3 linked regions of the Arabidopsis thaliana genome follow. The protein of the gene in region 1 interacts with the protein of each later gene in a pairwise test. Each region holds a gene or a part of one and is shown in the gene's direction. Other genes may lie near its edges.

What was found.
Region 2: the proteins of MYB47 (region 1) and AT3G54130 interact in a two-hybrid assay, tested with the Arabidopsis thaliana proteins (one large-scale study listed by BioGRID).
Region 3: the proteins of MYB47 (region 1) and HB20 interact in a two-hybrid assay, tested with the Arabidopsis thaliana proteins (one large-scale study listed by BioGRID).

Annotation. Positions count from the first base shown.
Region 1 is NC_003070.9:6,447,130-6,455,150, forward strand, and holds MYB47 (myb domain protein 47), read left to right. Parts: upstream 1-3,455; 5' UTR 3,456-3,651; coding exon 3,652-3,784; intron 3,785-4,946; coding exon 4,947-5,076; intron 5,077-5,316; coding exon 5,317-5,857; 3' UTR 5,858-6,134; downstream 6,135-8,021.
Region 2 is NC_003074.8:20,040,458-20,047,353, reverse strand, and holds AT3G54130 (Josephin family protein), read left to right. Parts: upstream 1-2,773; 5' UTR 2,774-2,924; coding exon 2,925-3,179; intron 3,180-3,871; coding exon 3,872-4,459; 3' UTR 4,460-4,713; downstream 4,714-6,896. Other genes in the region: PTR1 (peptide transporter 1), read left to right, coding at 1-554, 635-1,469; AT3G54120 (Reticulon family protein), read left to right, coding at 5,221-5,290, 5,393-5,573, 5,638-5,849, 5,937-6,085; PUMP1 (plant uncoupling mitochondrial protein 1), read right to left, coding at 6,358-6,402, 6,507-6,593, 6,677-6,754, 6,838-6,896. UniProt on the Arabidopsis thaliana protein: Interacts with key regulators of transcription and represses transcription. Acts as a histone-binding protein that regulates transcription. Acts as a deubiquitinating enzyme.
Region 3 is NC_003074.8:68,738-76,297, forward strand, and holds HB20 (homeobox protein 20), read left to right. Parts: upstream 1-4,569; 5' UTR 4,570-4,861; coding exon 4,862-5,000; intron 5,001-5,076; coding exon 5,077-5,462; intron 5,463-6,222; coding exon 6,223-6,558; 3' UTR 6,559-6,802; downstream 6,803-7,560. Other genes in the region: RP2 (PPDK regulatory protein 2), read right to left, coding at 1,089-1,195, 1,335-1,974, 2,225-2,611; AT3G01210 (RNA-binding (RRM/RBD/RNP motifs) family protein), read left to right, coding at 3,445-3,560, 3,645-3,720, 3,791-3,889, 3,964-4,422. UniProt on the Arabidopsis thaliana protein: Probable transcription factor.

The DNA of each region.
Region 1 (8,021 bases):
ACATCAAAGATAGTACTTTGTTTGCGTCCACATACGGTAAAAAAAAAAAAAAAAAAAAAAAAAAACTGATTTACAAAGAAGCTTGAACCGATATAGAATTAGAATATAAATATCATACACAACATGACATCCTAAAATGTATAAAGAAAATAAAACTAAACAAAGTTGAAACATATCCTTTTCAAGTATGGATATCTCGATCTCTCACCCATCTTCACAGACGACAGTTATTTTTGTACTTTCAATATCCTTTACATGTCTTGGCAAATTGGTTGTCCATCTCTGTTTGACTGTCCGGGATTTTTGGGACGAATTAATCTGGAAAAAAACATTGACAGATCTATTAAAGTAGTTTAACAAAAAAAAAGATAGATCTATTAGAGTAAAAAATGGCTTTTGGAATTAAAATCTCTATATTTCAGGCCTATCATGTTGCTCCACATGGGACAACCATAAGACATCCCAAGAAAGACTCGCAACAACATCAACCTTATCTTGTTTTTTTTCATCTTTTATTTTGTTTTTGTTTTTCAATTTCAGCCACAGATTTACAAGATTAAGACAATTATTGGAGATCCTCAGGATCATATCTCAAATGTTTTGGGACTTCTACAAATTAAAGTCTTCATGTGACTTTTGTTTATTATATATACAAAAAACTCATATGTGATACTTTCAAAAAAACTTTTATTTTCGTCAATATTCTACCTACTCGTAATAAGAATTGGGTTATTGATCAAATTTTTGTCGACCGAATTGATTAAAAATAAATAAATATATATATATATATATATATATATATATATAAACCGGAGATCAAATTAATAGTTCGGATATACTTCCATGGATGCAAAAATAAAGTATCAAACTTCATTTATCATGTAGAATATATATTAAAGGATATGTAAGATACAATCATTTATAATTTGTTTCGGTTTCACACTTAATATAGTTGAGCCGCGTTAATCATTGTTCTCACTTCTCACTGTTTTTTTGTTTCCCCCAAAGAAAACTTCTCACTGATTTACACGTACGCTATGTATAAATCCACGAATTTGTTTTTTTTTTATTTAACTATACCAATTATTGACACGTGCTTAAATTCGGTAAAAGTCGCATACTTTAAAATATTTTTCTTTCCTTTTACATTTTAAAATATTTGAGGCGAAGTTTTCACACTTATATATTATGGTGACATGTTGGCTTGTATAGTAATTGTATGGTTCTATACAGATGCTGAGCACATGTCAAAAACAATATAAATACAAGTACAAAATTTTGATAGAAGCAATTCGAAAGATAGCAATACAAATAAAAATGCTACTAGATAAAAGTAGGACAGTTTAAAGAAATAAAAATTTATCAAAAATTTTGATATAGAGTAAGTATCAATAATTTGGGAAAAAAAAATCTAGCTCCACTTCACCACCTTTGTATAGCCACTTCACTTTGTACAACCCAATATTAGGTATTTGTACTACTCTTTTAATATAAACTATGCAATGCTTCTATTTGCACACTTTTGTATAATTCCTATGATTGGTTACATACAAGGCCTTACAATCATTACCACTACTAGTTTATATATGTAACTAATCAAAACCATAATCATTATATTTGATTGTCTATTTGTTTTGTTTGGCACAACTATTTACTAACAAATTAAACCAAATCTTATTATATTTAATCTCCATGTGGTCGAAAAATTAAATATAGTTTTTTATATTATCAATTGTGATGAGACCCCTCTATCACATTTTTCTTGATTTGTTTGTAGCTATTGTAGAAGAAGAAAACAACTACTTAAAAAAAAAAAAAAAAAAAAACTTTCAGAAGTGATAATCTTTGTCCGAAAGAGATTGATAGATGACTTTGATAATGAGAAACAAATACACAAAAAAAAGCATTTACAAAAAGTACAAAAACGAGAATCATATATATATATATATATATATATATACTGAAAAGAAAAAGAGAATTACATATTTAATCATACAAAAAGAAATTAAAAACAAGAAAAAGTGAATGATTGTTGGGATTATTTCTCGTTAATATGAAAATGTCTACCATGAAATGATATGTGAACTAACGACTTTAATTCACTAAAGAAGAGGGTATCCCACATCAATGATAAGTTTGGCATCAACAATCATGCACAATTGCACATCACGCCTCTGAGTAGGCGCATGAGTGTGTGAATGAGGAAATATGAAAAGGATGAGAGAGCAAAAAGATTTCACACAGATCACAGATGGAATTCGAATCATTCGACCAAGAAATATGTGAGGAATTCGAATCACAGGTCTTACGCAGTCAACGGACCATCCTTTTTTCTATATTAATTTCTAACTTCTAACTATAACATTCAAAAAGTCCAAAATATGTGAGGAATGATTAATGTGAACACTGGTAGGTTTATTTACTGTTTTTCCATTTATTTACATTGACCTAGTGTAATGGTATCATACTATCATCTGCAATCTGTAGTGCCACGTCGCCCCAAAAATAATGATTACCACATCCACATGCTCTTCTACTAATTAACCGTTCCAAAAAATTATCTAGTATCGTCACTAATTAATAGTATAAAGTAAGATTATCATATACGTTTATCAAAAAAAGAGGTGTGAGACTATCATACTTTTATTAATAGCCAGGAAGAGAAAGAAGAAAACGTTCAACGTACTAACACTATTCAGTATCCACACATGTGCGGGAATATATGAATAAATAATAGTATCATTTACCATTTTTTATAACAAGATCATCTTACTTTAGCTCTAACCCCTTTTTGTTTCTAGATTGTCTACGAATATAAAATAAAAATATAGTATTAAAATTTTATACGTGGCTAAACTTACATTTTATTGTATTATATCACGTTAAAGCTAAGTGACTAACGAATTATATATACGATATAATAATAATAATTTGTGGTTAATTTTAAAATTTTGTTAATAAATGTTCTATAAAAATTAATATATATTGATAAATATGAAATTTATTAAAACAAATTTATCAAAAATTTCATGGTTACGTACAAAAAATATATAATCACCAATTCACCATTTTGTTTATATATGTTCTTATTAGATTTTGATATTTTGATAGGTAAAAAATAAATAAATACTGGGGTAATAATTTACGAAAAGTTTTTAAGTGTTAGATAGTACACCTTCCATTTAAAATTAATTGTCGTTTAAAGTTTTTTCACGAGTATAACTAATACGAAACAAAAAAAGTAATAGATACTATCTTTTCTTTTCTTCTTTTACCTCTTTACACATAAATTTTGGCAAGATTTGGGTATTTGGTATGGTAATAGACTAATAGTAGAAATTTGTGCTCGATAAAACTTTCGATATCTAACGGCAGGAATTCGAAGTAAAATCCAACGGCGGAAATATAATAATACCAAAACAGGGGGGGGCTATATAATTGTATAACCCTAATTAGAATAACGCATCCCACTACTCATTCTCTCGAGAGCATCCTACAGAGTAAAACGTGTAGAGAGAGACTCACTTTTTTTTCTGGAGAGAGAGACACACTTTCAAATAAATAATTGAACTTGTTTAAAATTTGTCTTCTCGTGAGGTGGTGAAACGTGGCAATATTAGATTGGTTTTTTAGTTTGGTTGGCTGGAGAAAATGGGGAGGACGACATGGTTCGACGTCGACGGGATGAAGAAAGGAGAGTGGACGGCAGAGGAAGACCAGAAGCTCGGCGCTTACATCAACGAGCATGGCGTTTGTGATTGGCGTTCCCTCCCCAAAAGAGCTGGTATAATATAAACATGTCATTCATAAAAGTGCATTTTAGTTTGTGCTCATATGAAATTGTGTCTTCTTCTACTCTTTTTCATTAGATATGTATTTGGAACAAGGGATTTGTTGAAGTCTAGATAAATTCTAGTTGCTGCCCTATGAAAATATGCGTGTATATATGTAGCAAAACACTTGGGATATTTATATTTATATTCCATAAACATATAGAGAAGTGTATGCATCTATATGTTGTGTTTTTGCAAAACTGTGTTACAACATATTTTCTTCTTCTCACTTTTTTTTTTGTTTTCTTAATAAACTAATTTGGGAACAACGAGTTTACAGAAAGTATAAATTCGAATTGCTGCCTATTAATATATTGCACGTAGGTATGTAGCAACATAGTTGGATTAAGAACATCTAAAAAGCATGTGTTAAGTATATAGAATATTTAACATTGTTTTTGGTTCGTATATATATCTTTAAAATGTTTTAAAATGATTAAGACAATATTGAAGATACTTTCTTTGTACTTTCTTTCCCCTATTTGTTGCTGAAAGTTCTCATTTGTATTATTAGAGGACTATGAGTTAAATCATAAGTGGGTATATTAATATACACACCGAAATTTTCGGGATTGGAAATTTGTTACATATGTAGAGATTCTCTTCTACATGCTGAAGTGAATAGTATAATCCATGTTCTTTGAATTCAAAATCACTGATGATTTTTTTTTCTTATAATGATTTTTGCAACCAAATCAAGAATGAATATTGAAAGTACGTACTTACACATACACCCATGTTTTATAATACTTTTTAGTCCATGATTGATTATAATTTTTGTAGATGCTTATTTCTATTTAGTAGAAACTCATACCAATTCTTTCACAAAAAAAGAAACTCATACCAATTATATCCATATGATACTATAAAAAATGATTTCCATCTTTTAACGGTGCTCAAGAGCGACAGGTGTTCCCTGTGCTTTGTCCATATACATAGTGGTTGGAAAATTCCTTGTTTTTTTAAGACCCAATCTCGAAAAGTTGAAGCTTTTACAACTTCCTTGCTTTCAAATCCTCCAGTGTTAATAAAAAGTTTAATTCTTGGCAGATTCTTTTGTTTGCCACTACAAAAGCACAATTATTTCTTCGAATAATTTATTATGAAAAACAGGTTTGCAGAGATGTGGAAAGAGCTGCAGATTAAGGTGGCTTAACTATCTAAAGCCTGGGATTAGAAGAGGCAAATTCACTCCTCAAGAAGAAGAAGAAATCATCCAACTTCATGCTGTTCTCGGAAACAGGTTAATTATCAAGTTATATATATGTAACATTATATACTTTGGTAGAGAGTCCACATATATACTTCAGTAATGATTAACCACTCTGACGTTAATTTATATGTTAAGTGATCTTTCCACAAAGTTTGGAGATTAATTTGAATTTTTTTATTTGGGATCTTCGGAAACAATATTAATTTATCTTTTTTTTTTTTTTTTTTGATAAAGGACATACTAAATCTTGTTATTCTTGAAAAAATAAAGGTGGGCAGCCATGGCGAAGAAGATGCAGAATCGAACAGACAATGATATCAAGAACCATTGGAACTCTTGTCTCAAGAAAAGACTTTCGAGAAAGGGAATCGACCCTATGACCCACGAGCCCATCATCAAACACCTCACCGTCAATACCACTAACGCAGATTGTGGTAACTCTTCCACCACGACGTCCCCGTCGACGACGGAAAGCTCTCCTTCCTCCGGCTCGTCTCGTCTTCTTAACAAACTCGCCGCAGGTATCTCATCTAGACAACATAGTCTCGATAGGATCAAGTACATCTTGTCGAATTCAATAATCGAAAGCAGTGATCAAGCAAAAGAGGAAGAAGAAAAAGAAGAAGAAGAAGAAGAAAGAGATTCAATGATGGGTCAGAAGATTGACGGTAGTGAAGGAGAAGATATTCAGATTTGGGGCGAGGAGGAAGTTAGGCGTTTAATGGAGATTGATGCAATGGATATGTACGAGATGACTTCGTACGACGCTGTCATGTACGAGAGTAGTCACATACTTGATCATCTCTTTTGACTTAATATAGTGTGACTGTGTGAGTGCATGCATGTTGTTAGCATATGCTAAGATATGTTTTAAAGTTGCAAGTTGCAACAATGAATATTAACGTGGACCATTTTTTGACAAAGAGAAAATGGTTCCCTAAAGAGCAAGTCGTCGTATAGCTTTTTTTTTTTCAAAGGAAAAAAAATTAAAAAAGAGAGAGATCGTCGTTTAACATGTGGGGTTCAGTTAGGACATACAATTGTAATAAGAATTTTCAATAAAATACTGGGAAATATTTAATCAAAATAAAAATATTTTTACGCCAAAATATTTAATAAAAATAAAAATATTTTCCAATATTTCATTGAAAATTCTTATTACAGTTGTATGTCCTAATAAAAATAAGTCTATTTTTAATGCAAGATCACGATTATAGAAGATAGATAAACATTTAAAATGCTTATGGAATATTTAAATATGTATATGATCTATTGAAAAAAAAATGTTAAAAAAAAAATCTGTTACTTTTAATTTTTTAAGTAAAGTGTTAAACATTTCTTTGAAAGCTTTTTGGATTTTATCAACGTAATCATCACTACGAATCAAGGACTCATTAATGGTGCACGTGATTGAAAGTGTGAAAAATAGACAGTATGTCGTCATTAGGGACACGTCTGAACATGAAACTTGGACACGTCTGTACAAAATTAATGCTGCAGGTATTTGCCTATCATCCTGACTTATTTACATTTCTGTGTTTATTTTCTTTTTCCGAACATGAAACTTGGGTATTTAGCCAGAACCGAATGAATTTCTAAAATGTATTTAAATTCAAGCCGAGTTGAGGTTAACTTTAGATCAATTGGTACAATTTCGTTCTATACAATCAAAACCATAACTATGTTTAAGCCCACGCAATTATAAATATTAACATTGATTTAATCTCATGAAATTTTGTTTTTGATGGGTATAACAAAATCTTTTGGTATCAATTGGTACCAAACTACCAATCAATGAGTTTCAATTTTAAAAGTTTGTGTTCATTTTATGTGTTTGTCTCAATTGTTTTCCTTTTTGATGTCCAATTTATTGTCATCTCTGTGTTTCTTTTTACGTAAAAAAAAAAAAAAGGAAATGACAAAAAAATATATTACCAAACACAGAAAATTGAAGGTCCACTAAAACAAAATTGACTCCTCTACTTTTCTTCATGTTTGGGATAATTTTGTTTTTTTAATAATATTTTTAAAAATAGAGAACTGATATTTGGTAAAGAACAAAATGACACTTTGATTCAGAAATTTTTATTGTCTACATTTCTGACCCATCATGCTGCTCCACATGTGACATCTCTTCTCAACTAGTCAATGCAATCAAGGTGACGATATAAAAAAGTAAGAATTTAAGCTCTCTATAGGCTAACAACAACATCAACTTTATCATAATGTTTTTTCAAAATAATTTTTTCCTTTCAATGATTTAGTGTGAGCATATGCTTTCAACTCAAAACTAAATGAAAATTTGTAAAAAAGCGTAAGTTGTTATTAATATATTAGTCTAGACTTCTTTTGATTTTATTTTTAATATATATATATATATATATACTTTTAATTGTGTGAATATGCATGTATTTATAATCTTACTGATATTGTGTGATATACTACTATAACATGTATCCTGAGTTTTATATTCGCCATAGTTTATAATGCTATACTACAATTAGGGGTATCAAAATGGGTCAAAATTCATTGGTCAACTCAATTCAACTCAACCCATAAACCGTAATGAGTTGAAAATTTTGACTCAAATGAGTTGATGAGTCAAATGATTTGATGAGTCAATTGGTTTGATGAATAAAATAAGTTAGGTTGTAATGGTTAATGGTTTCAATGGTTTACCCAATTAACCCATCAAGTTTTGTAAAATTGAATTAAACCAACTAAAATCTCTAAACCAATGCCAATTTAAGTTTAACTAACACATCTAAACCAATTTAATAAAATTAATATTTTTCCAAATTTCTTAAACATACAAGCGATGAAATTGAGAAAAAGTAAACTCGTAAATTTTCCACCAAAAAACATAAACCCGTGATTTTTCCACCAAAAAATATAAACTCGTGATTTTTCCGCCAAAAACGTAAACCCGTGATTTTCCCACCAAAAACGTAAACTCGTGATTTTCCCGTCAAAAA
Region 2 (6,896 bases), on another chromosome or scaffold:
GGTATGACTCTTTTGACATTATCAGCTTCAGTTCCTGGACTTAAACCAGGTAACTGCAATGCTGATACTTGTCATCCAAATTCTAGTCAGACTGCTGTTTTCTTTGTCGCGCTTTATATGATTGCTCTTGGAACTGGCGGTATAAAGCCGTGTGTTTCGTCCTTTGGAGCTGATCAGTTTGATGAGAATGATGAGAATGAGAAGATCAAGAAAAGTTCTTTCTTCAACTGGTTTTACTTCTCCATTAATGTTGGAGCTCTCATTGCTGCAACTGTTCTCGTCTGGATACAAATGAATGTTGGTTGGGGATGGGGTTTCGGTGTTCCAACAGTCGCGATGGTTATCGCGGTTTGCTTTTTCTTCTTCGGAAGCCGTTTTTACAGACTTCAGAGACCTGGAGGGAGTCCACTTACTAGGATCTTTCAGGTTATAGTAGCGGCTTTTCGGAAGATAAGTGTTAAGGTTCCAGAGGACAAGTCTCTGCTCTTTGAAACTGCAGATGATGAGAGTAACATCAAAGGTAGCCGGAAACTTGTGCACACAGATAACTTAAAGTAAGAAACTAAAGTTTGAATCTTTATCCTAACTTCAAAAATACTCTGTTTTCAAATCTAAAGTTTTGAAAACATCTCAGGTTTTTTGACAAGGCAGCGGTTGAGAGTCAATCTGATAGCATCAAAGACGGGGAAGTCAATCCATGGAGACTATGTTCTGTTACTCAAGTTGAAGAACTTAAGTCAATAATCACACTTCTTCCAGTTTGGGCCACAGGAATAGTCTTCGCCACAGTGTACAGCCAAATGAGCACAATGTTTGTGTTACAAGGAAACACAATGGACCAACACATGGGAAAAAACTTTGAAATCCCATCAGCTTCACTCTCACTTTTCGACACTGTCAGTGTACTCTTCTGGACTCCTGTCTATGACCAGTTCATTATCCCGCTGGCAAGAAAGTTCACACGCAATGAACGAGGCTTCACTCAGCTTCAACGTATGGGTATAGGTCTTGTGGTCTCCATCTTTGCCATGATCACTGCAGGAGTCTTGGAGGTTGTCAGGCTTGATTATGTCAAAACTCACAATGCATATGACCAAAAACAGATCCATATGTCGATATTCTGGCAGATACCGCAGTATTTACTTATCGGTTGTGCAGAAGTTTTCACCTTTATAGGTCAGCTTGAGTTTTTCTATGATCAGGCTCCTGATGCCATGAGAAGTCTCTGCTCTGCTTTGTCGTTGACCACGGTTGCGTTGGGGAACTATTTGAGCACAGTTCTTGTGACGGTTGTGATGAAGATAACGAAGAAGAACGGTAAACCGGGTTGGATACCGGATAACTTGAACCGAGGCCATCTTGATTACTTTTTCTACTTGTTGGCAACTCTCAGTTTCCTCAACTTCTTAGTGTACCTCTGGATTTCAAAACGCTACAAATACAAGAAAGCTGTTGGTCGAGCACATTGATCAAGAAACTGGTGTGGAAGATATTTGGAGTTAACAGTATTTGTTTGAAAAGTGTTTTGCTTGTAAATGTTTTTTGTATGTGGTCTAGTTGTTGTTGGTGTGTTAGGTTTGTTTTGGTTTTGCTTATGTATTTCTGAATACTTCCAGTCTTCCACTTATATGTAAAAGGCTATTGGTAACTATTTTATGAGCTTTTTGCTTAAAGCTTTTTGACCGTCTGATAATATGTCCTCCTATATTTTGCCATTGCTCTTAAGAAACTTATTATATACATTGGAAGTTATAAGCAATAAGCTGGGAAATAAAATCAAAAACTAAACAACAGCATGGGAAATCTTAACAAAAAGCAAAGCACATAGGATCCTATTGTCAATACATATGTAAACTTACTACTAGACATTAAACAAAGAGATCAAGTATTTTCTTCTGTTTCTTTGAAGATGTCTTTACTTTTGACTATATATCTGAACTGTTTGGAAAATGCTCAAGATCAGGATGCATAAGGAAGCCCCCTTGGCTTCTTGGAGGTTGTCTAACAAGATTGAGACAAGCAAGCGTCAAAAACAGATTTTGATTCTGGGGTTTATTTGTTCAGTAAAACCCATGGTTTATATATATATAGTCAGAAACAAGCTTTTTATTGAGCTCAACTATATGCACATAGAAAAAGAGAAAGTTTTTTTGTCATTTTACGAATGTGGTGGTGCGATGAAGCCAGGTTTGGTCACTAAATGAGCGGAAGCGGAAATAGCCAGCAGGACTATCTGGAAATGAAACCAAACCTAATCATTTAACAAAGTATAATCAACTCTAGCCTTGCAATTATATGGCTAAGAAGGAAAAATTTAGACCATAATAAGAGTTTAGAACAAACAGGTAGAAGTAGTAGATGTATTACCTTGATGAAAGAATCAGAGGGCGTAAAAGCTTATACAGAATCTCATTCTTTAAATCTGTCACTAACTTATCTAAATTCTTAAACTGTTCACGGACATTGCTGCTAGTGCTCTCAGTAGTATAATTCCTAACTCTGTATTAGTGCTCTCAGACGTGGTTATTACGAAATGCAGGCATAAACCAACCCGATCATACCCATCACATTATCAGAAGTCGCCATCAAAGAGATCACCAGAAATCTTGGGAAGCAAGGAACCTAAGTTGGTCTGTCAATTTTGAGATAATGGGCCTATCTCAAAACAGTATCGGGCTCGTCTGCAAAATAAGAAAAAGGCCTAGAAAGTCGGTTATTACACGTGGCATCCTTTTATTGTATATTTACTTTTCCGTCCCTTACATTTTCTTATTTAAATAATCTGTTAACTTGCTTCTTCTTCTTCTTTCTTCATCTTCATCTTCATCTTCGCTTCACAATCTCTTTGAGACTTTTGCATCGGAGCAATAATAATATATTCATCGCAAAATCAGTGAATTTTGATATTCAAATCTTAATCGGCGATGGAACGAACAAGCAACGGAGGAATGTTGTATCACGAGGTTCAAGAGTCAAATCTGTGCGCCGTACACTGCGTCAACACGGTGTTGCAAGGGCCTTTCTTCTCTGAATTCGATTTGGCTGCCGTCGCCGCCGATCTAGACGGGAAGGAGCGTCAGGTTATGCTTGAAGGTGCTGCCGTTGGAGGTTTTGCTCCCGGCGATTTCTTAGCTGAAGAGTCGCACAATGTTTCCCTCGGCGGCGATTTTAGTATCCAGGTACGAATTCGCGATGAAATTGATAAATCTTGAGTTGCATTCAACATTTATATATTGTAAAGCCTTTTTGTTATTGTGTTGTTGGAAGTTTAGGCAAAATTAGGGTTTCGATTTTATGGTGCTTTTGATTGCTGTGTTTATGCTGAAGTGATAAACTTTTGAATGGTTGGATTCGTTTTTAGATAGATTCAAGAAGAATTGAGATCAGTAATGGTGTGAATTTGCGATCTTTACTTTGGGTTAAAACTCATTTGTTGAAGGCTAGTTTCATTGTGCGAACATTGCTATGCTGATAAATGGAGGAACTTGAGATGATTTTTTTTATCTTGGGACTCAATTGTTTTGGATATGTTAGTTATTAGTGAGGTTCTGTATATTCAATTATCATCTTTTGTTTCTTGGATAGCTTTAAACCGAGTTGGTTGATAACTTGATATTTGATTAGGTTGCTACAAAAGTCAGGTTTGATTGCAAGATTTATGTATTGAGATTCAAGGGTATAGTATGGTGTTTTACATCACATTTTTAGATATCTAAAATTAAAGCTATTTTAACGGATTACGTTGAAGTTGGATGCGGATAAAACACTGCAAACAGAGGGTTTATGCGATTGGTGTAGCATTTTAATCTTGCAAAGTTGATCTAGTCTTTGCTTATTCGTTTAACTGAGAATGCTTCTGTTTGATTGACAGGTCTTGCAAAAAGCTTTGGAAGTGTGGGATCTACAAGTAATTCCACTCAATTGTCCAGATGCAGAGCCTGCGCAGATAGACCCTGAGCTTGAAAGCGCCTTTATCTGCCACTTGCATGACCATTGGTTTTGTATAAGGAAAGTGAATGGCGAATGGTATAACTTTGATAGTCTCCTTGCTGCCCCGCAACATTTATCGAAGTTCTACCTTTCTGCGTTCTTAGACTCTCTCAAAGGCGCAGGATGGAGTATCTTCATAGTGAAAGGAAACTTCCCTCAGGAATGTCCCATGTCGTCTTCTTCTGAAGCTTCCAATAGTTTCGGGCAGTGGCTTTCTCCTGAAGACGCAGAGAGAATAAGAAAGAACACGAGCTCAGGTTCTTCTGCCAGAAACAAGAGAAGTAATGACAATGTTAATCAACAAAGACGGAATCAGGCATTGTCACGTGAGGAAGTGCAGGCTTTTTCAGAGATGGAAGATGATGACTTGAAGGCAGCAATTGCAGCAAGTTTGCTTGATGCTTCTGCTGCTGAGGCCAATCTCGGAGCTGTGGGCACTTCTGAAAAGGAAACTGAGAAACAAAAGTAGCAGAGAAAATAGAGAACAAGTGTTATTGATGGAGGTGGTGGGATATTCACTTTTGTTTCTTTGTTTTGGTTTGTTATCAAGAGTTATCAACAATTTTACATACAGAACAGAGAAAGAAAAAAGCTTACATCGAAAGATAGAAAACAGAGGATAATAAATGGTTTGTGGAATTGTTTTTGTTTGATTTTTTTACCATATTAAATTCTTCTGACAATCTTAAATTGAGGATAAAGATTCGACCTTTTCGAATTCATAGGAAACTACATCTGAAAAGGGTACATAAATTACTTCAGTTGACTAAAAGTAGATGAATGACCAATTTAAATGTGTTCTATGGAAAATATAAAAGGATGGTGTAAAATTTGATTCATCTCTAAGTACAATCTGGCGAACTTTTACAGTTTGAAAAAAACAAGAAGGATAACACTTTTAGGCTGGAAATAAAAACATCGAGAGGACAACAAACACCTTCTTTTTCCCTAAACAGAGCATAGCCTTTGAATTATTAATTAATTATTTGTATATTCAAAGTTGATGGCTTTGATGATGATGGTGATGACCCAACTTTAGTCTCTTCTTCACTTTTTATTTTTACTTTCTTTGTGATACATCAGGTTCCTTCGATTCGAGCCTTTAGGATTTCCTTTCACATAATGATCTGTTTCTGACATTCAGAGAAAGATATACATATCTGGGTTACTTTTGGGATCTGATCATCTGAGGAAATCTGAATCCAAGTTTGCTCTGATCTTTCTTCTCAAATGAGTTCTTCTTCGGACAAGTTGTTCAACAGAGACAGGACAATACATGAGATTCTGGGAGGAGGCATTGGTTAGTGAATACATTTCTTTACCAAATCCAAAACTTATAAAAGCTAGGTGATCTCTCACCTCTATAGCCTTTTTTTTTTCTTGTTATGAAATGAATCTGCAGTTGCAGATGTGATGCTGTGGAGGAAGAAGAATGTGAGTGTTGGTATAGTTACAGTGACAATAGCTTCATGGATGGTGTTTGAGGCATTTGCTTACACTATCTTTACTCTTATTTCAAGTGTTCTTCTTCTCTTGCTCTCTATTCTCTTCCTCTGGTCCAAATCTGCTTCCATTCTCAACAGGTATATTAATATTCACTTGTAACTAATATTACTTCATTTCTGATTCAATTTCTTGGCTCTTCAGGCCATCACCGCCGTTACCGGAGTTTCAAATAAGTGAAGCGATGGCGGAAGAAGCTTCGATATGGTTACGTATTCATGTGAACAAGCTACTCCAAGTTTCGCATGACATTGCAATGGCAAGAGACTCAGAGTTGTATACCAAAGTAGCAGTGTCACTGTTTCTTCTCTCATTGATCGGAAGTCTCATGGATTTTCAGACACTTTGCCACACCAGTAAGTAGATATTCTAAAACTCCTATAGACTTGGAATGCTTTTGAGCTGGATATTCATTTTGTGGTTGTTCTTGGTTAATTTGGCAGGCGTTTTGGTGGTTATGACGGTTCCAGCTTTCTATGAGAGATATGAGGATTACATTGTTGGCTCTATTGAGTTTATCTGCAACAAAACTAGAGAGCTTTACCTTAGACTCGAGATATGGGCTAATCCGGAAAATAAGAAACTGAGCTGAGATGCTGTCACCTCTTTCTTCTTCAGGAGTTTCTTTTTCTGATTTTTCTCGGTTTTGTGGAAAGAAAGGAGAAAAATGTATGATTTTTGATAAATGTTGGATGGTACAGCCAATATATGAGCAATCCACAGAAATTTTATTTCACAGTTTTACTCGAAAACTGAATCTCTATTCCGAAAACAATATTCGACCAAGTTCTGGCCTCTCTCAATCACCGAAAATGAAGAAGAAAACAATGTTGCTCTTATTCCCTCTGCTTAAAACTATGTGTCTCAGTTTCTTTTGGACGCATCGAGTTCCCGGACATACTTCTTTGCCTGGATTAGAGTATTAAGAACCCGGATTAGAAAATGAGAAAGAAGACTTTGCGTGACCGATTCGAATGCGATTGCGATAAAATAAAAATTCTATCAGTTGTTACCTGTTCGAGGGTCAAAAACATGATTACGTTCCATGAGCCAAGGCGTCCAAAGTTGGGGATGAAACCCTTGTAAAATGCCATAGGACCCTGTAGAGGAAACCGTAAAGAGTTTGTAACATTTTCTGGGTTATATCTAGAACAATGGAGGTATCAGAAGCAGAGTTGCTTACGTCGCTCTTCAGAGTTTTGACGAAGCAGTCAATGGTGCCCTTGTAAGCACCAGAATCTCCCATCATTCTTGACTTAACCTGCCACACAACAAGATTTAAGTAGACAATCAGGAAACGTGGTGAATAAACTCAAGGTTCAATGTCATGAGTAAATACTTTACCACGTCGACAGGAGAGCCGATGCAGACAGCAAAGAATCCTGCTCCCAGTCCAGATAGAA
Region 3 (7,560 bases), on another chromosome or scaffold:
AGGCAAATTGATACAAGTCGTACTATATATATGTGTATATAATATTTGTGTCGATGTTGTCTTATGCATGGTGTATATTGCTACCACCAAAAAAAATGGCTGCCTAAATTTCTTTAAGCCCAAATTAAATACAAATGGGGTTTTAAGAATTGAAAATTTCGTGTGTCTCACGTCACTAAGACACCTCTAGTTCCTCTACTTAACAAGAAAAAGACATATAGAGTTCGGATATAGTTAAAACAATGTATTTTGTATTACTTGCCTTATAGAGTGGGACAATACTTTGCCAACAACAGTTGGAAGAATAACTTAAATTAAAATTAAGTTTTTATCTTATCAAGTAGATTAAAATATCTACATATATGCATATCAATTGATACTTGGACGTTATCGATAACAATTATTTGATCCCACATGCATCCATGCATTATAGGTTTCCTGTAATGTTTCGTGCATGTTCTTCCAATTACGTCAATCATTTGACCGCAACGTTTTAACCTTTTCTAAACTACGCCATGTGTTACCAATTAGCATCTTATTAATCATGTGGATGAACAGATTGAATAGCAATAATCATCCACATAAATTGACAGTCGAAAAAACCTTGCATGTTTCCAGGTTCATCGTTTACTTACAGGAAGAAAATATCACTAATTAGTTATATAAATCGAAGATGGACACAAATCTCTGATCATCTACTTTGGATAATCAGAAGATTTTTTGGTAATTACCGAAATATTCATTCATAAACGAATAGAAAGAGTCAAAATAGATTAACTAAAATGACATTAAGTTTTGGATGACTTTTCTTGAACTTGCTAAACACACCCAAATTGCAACGTTGCAACTAAATGCTAATGACAGATATTCTTTTGTTTTATAGACTAGTAATAAAAGAATTCAGAGTAGCCACAATTATTAGTTTTCGTTATCCTTCATCCTCTTACATTCGTTGACTAAAACATATGATTCATCATGCCTCGGTTGGATTTGTTATTCAACTTATTATTATAGACATATATTACTTTATTCACTTGATACTTTATCGACACTGGTGTTTCATCCTCTCTACGGTCAAAGGAGTGTGCTTAGTAGCGTTTTGAGATACGCGGTACCGTAGTACTAGTGTCTCTACCGTCATGGTACAGCCGCAGAATCACAGCCGCGGTTTCTTCAATCGCCTTATTCGTCACATCTGCAAGCGCCACAACCCCAAGAATAACACATGAGAATACTCTGCCTACTTGTTAACTTTTTTTCTTACTAGCATTAAAAGGAAAGAAAAAAACAGCATTTTGAGTAGCAAATGAGAATGGTGTTTAAGTTTTGTTTACCTATCACTGCCCATCCGGGGTTTCGCTCATAGATCCTTGACGCGAAATCTAGTTCTTTCCGAACAAGATCAATCCCCGAGTAATTGTTCTCTGCCTCTGTATCTACGCCTAGCGTTTTAACCCTTGTTCTTCTAATCGCTTGCAGTACAACGAGCTGGATCTTCAAACCAAAAACTTTTCTCGGTTCAACCTGAAAGAGCGTCCTGGGTGGTTCCACGCCCATCACAAACGGCACATTAGCAACTTTGTACCCTTTTTGAGCAATGTAAGTGGACAAGGGCGTCTTCCCTGTCCGGGAAACCCCGACAAGAACTATATCAGCCTTGCTTAAGTTCTCAGGTAAAGTCCCATCATCTTGCTTAATGGTAAACTCAATGGCTTCAATCCTTTTGAAATATGCATCATTGAGAGTCTTGACCCTACCAGGTGCTCCACGTGTAAGACCTGACGGAGAAACACCTAAGTGAGACGCAATCCCTTCGATGATTGGTCCTAGAATATCAACCGAAAGCACACCCAACTGATCACAAGCTTGCTTTGCGGATTTTGCCATAGAAGGATTTGCTAAAGTGTAGAAACACATTGCCCCTTCCTTTGCCGCTTGCTTAATAATCTCGATAAGCCTCTCCTCATCCTCAACCTGATCAATCCCCAACCCAAAACCAAAGTAATGACAATTCTCAAAACCTAACACTTTCGGTTTAAAAGTCAAGTTTTTTCTTGCTCAGATGATCACTAATTGCAACTAGCATTCACTAAGATATAATCAGTTTCCATGTAATGATCCAATTTTATCTATCCTATGAGCAATTCTACTAGCAACATTCACAGAGAATTCTAAGAAAGGACATATTTTTTCCTGAAAGTAAGAAGATTTGATTTTCATTTACCCAGGAGAAGAGATGGGTATTCACAGAAGAGCCACGATTCAACGAAAAATCTTCGAATTGTCCCAAAGCGGCGTTAACGGAATGCTCTGCCGTCCACCCAGTTCCGTCGGAAACCAAATATATAGACTTTCCCGCCGTTACCTCCACGTCGATCGCCGTCGTCTTCTTATCAGCCTCATCGGTCGGTTGGGCTTCCGTTACTTGACGGCGAGGTGAGTTATCGGAACGGGGAATTGGACGGTCAAGCTTAACACCAGATCTTAAAGCTCGGCCCCTAGACCACCGATTCAATTTGGGACTAATCTTCAGCTTCGGACTCGACGAACCTGTCGGAATTGGAGGTTCGGAATTAGGCTCGTGATGGCCCGAGACGCCGTGTAAATTCATATCGCCAAAGTTTATGATAACTTTTTTTTTTTTTTTTTTCTGAGCGACGGTTAAGGCGTTAACCGCTAAATTGCGTTCCGATGAAAAATTGACGAAAATGTCCTCACTAATTACTTGGGCTTGAAAACAGATATTTGGGCTTTAAAAAGCCTAAGTAAAAAGTGCCCAAAAGACTCGTGGAAACAATAATAACACGCGCATCGCTAGAGCTTACGTTTGACGCGTATCGTCGACCACAACATCGATATCGATCGAGCCGACAAAAGAAAAAAAATTATGTGAACATTCCTCTTCTTTCTTTTTTGGTTTAAATGTTAACATTCCTCTTCTTTCTTTTTTTGTTTAAATTTGAAGAATCCTCTTTCTCTCTCACAATCACACGAATCTTGTCTTCTTTTCTCTCCGTCTCTTTCGATACTTGGCTTCAATCCTGTGACGTCCTGTTCTATTGTGCCTTAATCGGGTAATCTAAAACAGAACATACACTATCAGTTTTTTTTCGTGCCCTGCTTCTCGAAGTTTCCGATTGTGTGGTTGGTTGATACATATCTCATTGATTATCTTTGTTACTGTTACTTTCATCTCTTATCTCATTCAATTATAATCTAGGGTTCTTACTTCTTCTTTCTTCCCTCTCCGCTAACTATTTGGCCTGGACACCTTTTTTATTTTTTTTATTTGAATCATTATAGTAATCGTAGCTTTGTAGATTTCTTGCTGTATAAATCTCTAGAAAATCGCTCAACGGTTCACGGAATGTGATTCAAGAATCTTGTTTATGTTTGTTCTTTGATTTAGGTATCTAGGTTCGTGTGAGAAAACAGAACAATATAATGTATCCTTGTGGTTACGTTGCTCAAGTCACCAACTTGTCTCCTCAAGCCACTGAGAAAGATGTTCATAGGTTCTTCTCTCACTGTGGTATCGTCGAGCTCGTTGAAATCACCGGGTAACAACAACGTTCATTGTTCAGTAAATTATTAATCATTCTTGAATCTGTTTATATTTTGTTTCATGTCTCCATGGATTTCAGGTGCCAAGGGGATGCATTAACGGCTTATGTAACCTTCAGAGATGCGTATGCTCTGGATATGGCTGTGTTACTTAGCGTAAGTCCCTTAATTAGCTAGAAATTTCCAGTATGATCTTCTTGGCATTGATTTTAATGTTGATCTTCAGGGAGCTACGATCGTTGATCAAACCGTTTGGATATCGGTCTACGGTGTCTATTTACATGAATCTAACAATCTCAGACAAGAAGAAGACTATAGTGTTACGGTAACATTAAAAACAATACTTACTAGGTTACTTTAGGTTATAAGCCAAAGATTCTCGAAAATGTTTCTTTGTAGGTGACTCGTTCAGACGCGTTTGCTTCATCGCCTGGAGAGGCCATAACCGTGGCTCAACAAGTTGTGCAGACGATGTTAGCTAAAGGCTACGTTTTAAGCAAAGACGCGATTGGTAAAGCCAAAGCTTTGGATGAGTCTCAGAGATTTTCAAGCTTGGTAGCGACCAAATTGGCAGAGATCAGCCATTACCTTGGCCTCACACAGAACATTCAGTCGAGTATGGAACTCGTGAGATCAGCGGACGAGAAGTATCATTTCTCGGATTTCACTAAATCCGCGGTTCTTGTCACGGGCACAGCTGCTGTAGCCGCAGCCACCATTACAGGGAAAGTGGCTGCAGCTGCAGCGACTAGTGTGGTCAACAGTCGTTACTTTGCTAATGGGGCTTTATGGTTCTCAGATGCTTTGGGCCGGGCTGCAAAAGCAGCGGCCCATATCGGTGGAGGAGGAAGCAATTGATGTAAAAAGTCTTTGGGCTTCCTTGGAAAACATAAATAAATGATATGTGAGGTTTTAAAGCATAAAAGGTGTTGTGAAAAGAAAAAGAAAAAAAAAACCATCATGAAGATATGATTAGTAACGTTACATGATCGAAAATATTTGAGGCAGAAACTATAAAATAACTTTATTACATGAACTGGAGAATATATATGAAATATAATAATAAGCCTAAAGCTTTTAAAATATTAAGGATGGGTCCTAGAAACCTCCCTAGCTTGATCCTTTCCTCATTCTTTCTCTCTCTTTCTCTTATATGAGAGGTTGATGAGATCCACAAGAAACACCTAACTCATTTGATAGTGATTTCCAAATCTGCAAACAACAAAGTATATTTGATCATCACTATACTGATTTCACAATCCATTAATCACTGATAGGTTTTTGGTGGAATACATACATGTATGTGTTTGATCCAACAACAGAAGCTGGATTGAGATTAGAGATGGCGTTTCCTCAACATGGTTTTATGTTCCAACAACTTCATGAAGACAACAGTCAAGATCAGCTCCCTTCTTGTCCTCCTCATCTCTTCAATGGTACTATACTCTCTCTTTCTCTCACTATTTCTCCACATAAATAGATTTGAGTCATGAATTCTGTTGGTGTATATAGGAGGAGGAAACTACATGATGAACAGATCTATGTCTTTAATGAACGTGCAAGAAGATCATAATCAAACCTTGGATGAGGAGAATCTATCAGACGATGGGGCACATACTATGCTGGGAGAGAAGAAGAAGAGGCTGCAATTAGAGCAAGTTAAGGCATTAGAGAAGAGCTTTGAGCTTGGTAACAAGCTGGAGCCAGAGAGGAAGATACAACTAGCTAAAGCATTAGGGATGCAACCAAGACAGATCGCGATTTGGTTTCAAAACAGGAGAGCTAGGTGGAAGACTAGACAGCTCGAGAGAGATTATGATTCACTCAAGAAACAGTTTGAGTCTCTTAAATCCGACAATGCTTCTCTACTTGCCTATAACAAGAAACTCCTTGCTGAGGTATGTATCTATATAAGTAAGTATATATGTGTGTTTATATAGTAAATAAGGTGTTTAATTCAACTTTCATTTCTAATTTGATTGTGTTTGTTTTTTTCTTTGGTTTTTTTATTTTTGGTTTTGCACTAATAGTAATAACCAACGTAAAATAAATCTAGGACTACAAATATTTTTCTGATTATTGGCTTGGATTGGTACTATTTATGTAGTATATATATATGTGTATATATATCAGTGTATATATATATATATATGTATGTATCTTGTGTGTATTAAAGTCGTTTAATACGAAATGCAATAGATTATTGTTAGGCACATGATCCAACACTATAAGATGTTTGTCAAAAGACAGTAGGTGTTTTGTTTATTAATAAAAAGGATTCTTGATCAATATTTACAATTTAATTAATACATTCCCATATGACTATCAAGTAATGGCATGTGTGCGCTAACCAAATTTGACAAGAATACTGATTTTTATATCATATCATTTTTGTGTGTTTTAAATGATTTTACTACTTATTGAAATGTAATAGTTACAAGATTTTCAAAAATTACTTAAGCTAAGTATATGTAAATATATAATTTACATATATAGTCTTACAGTTTATCTATTTTAAGTTATTAGTCATTTTAAAAATATTTTGTTAATTTAAATTATATATAATTATGTTTATTTTAATGATATATAGAAATGATAATTTTTAATATCTGAATTTCTAAAACTTAACATTTGAATTGTGTGTGATGATGGTTAAAGGTAATGGCTTTAAAGAACAAAGAATGTAATGAAGGAAACATAGTAAAGAGAGAAGCAGAAGCTTCATGGAGCAACAACGGAAGCACAGAGAATAGTTCAGACATCAATCTGGAGATGCCTAGAGAGACCATTACAACACATGTGAACACGATCAAAGACCTATTCCCTTCATCGATTCGATCATCTGCACATGATGATGATCATCATCAGAATCATGAAATAGTTCAAGAAGAAAGCCTTTGTAACATGTTTAATGGCATTGATGAAACGACGCCGGCTGGTTACTGGGCATGGTCTGACCCAAACCACAACCACCACCACCACCAGTTCAACTGATTCATGATTCTAAAGCTCAAAAAAAAGTCATCAGCACGCATCAAGACAAATGATCATAATCATCATCATCATATCATCAGGAGAAGATCAAGACACAATTCTTCTCTTTGGAATTATGTTATTGCTACTCATTTCAATTTAAATTAATGGAGCATTTTGTTTTCTTTGGGTTTGTAGAGCATTGGTGTATAGTGCGAAAATTTGTTGTTGCTTTAATTTAATAAAAATCATAAAGTTCTTTGCATTCGGCCGTAACATTGTTAGATGTATGTGGATTGATCACAGTTTACAATATATGTAAATGGTTCAAAAAAGCATAACCACTCTCTTTTACTTCCCGAACAAAACTCTCCTCTAACCAATTGAGTGAGATTAAAAATCATGATTTTTCTCAACTTATATGTCCAATTTTATATATATATGATGGGTTGGTACAAATTTATTAAGAAAGTAAGGATATAAAAGTGAGAAAGATTCATATGCATGTGACTTCGAGTGGGATTCCAGCTCTGTCTTTGACATAACATGATCCATGACTAATATTATATGCAAAGATTATTTTAATATATATTTTATATTTTATGATTTTATCTTTGCAAGTTGCAATTTAAATCTTAATGGATTAATGGAACCATTAACTTTTTATTATAAAAAAAAAAAAAAACTATGCCATGCGTCACGTAGTTGCATGTAATACCAAATACAGTATTCACGTTCACTTCATCTACATAGACATATCTATTCTTTGTTGGTTCAAAATTGTTTTGAGTGAAATGAATCTATTCAATGGTAGTAATTTTGTTGTTGTGAGCTAAGTTTTAATCAGCGAGAGGTATCATACATTACCTTCTTCTTCTTTTTGTCAACAACATGTGTCAGGGTCACTATCCTACATTACTTTATAAAAATAATTACGTTAATTCATTTTAAAAATATATAAGAAAGAATAGTGAATTTAGGAAAGAAGAAGATTATTAAGAAGCACACGTTCCAAACACAAAG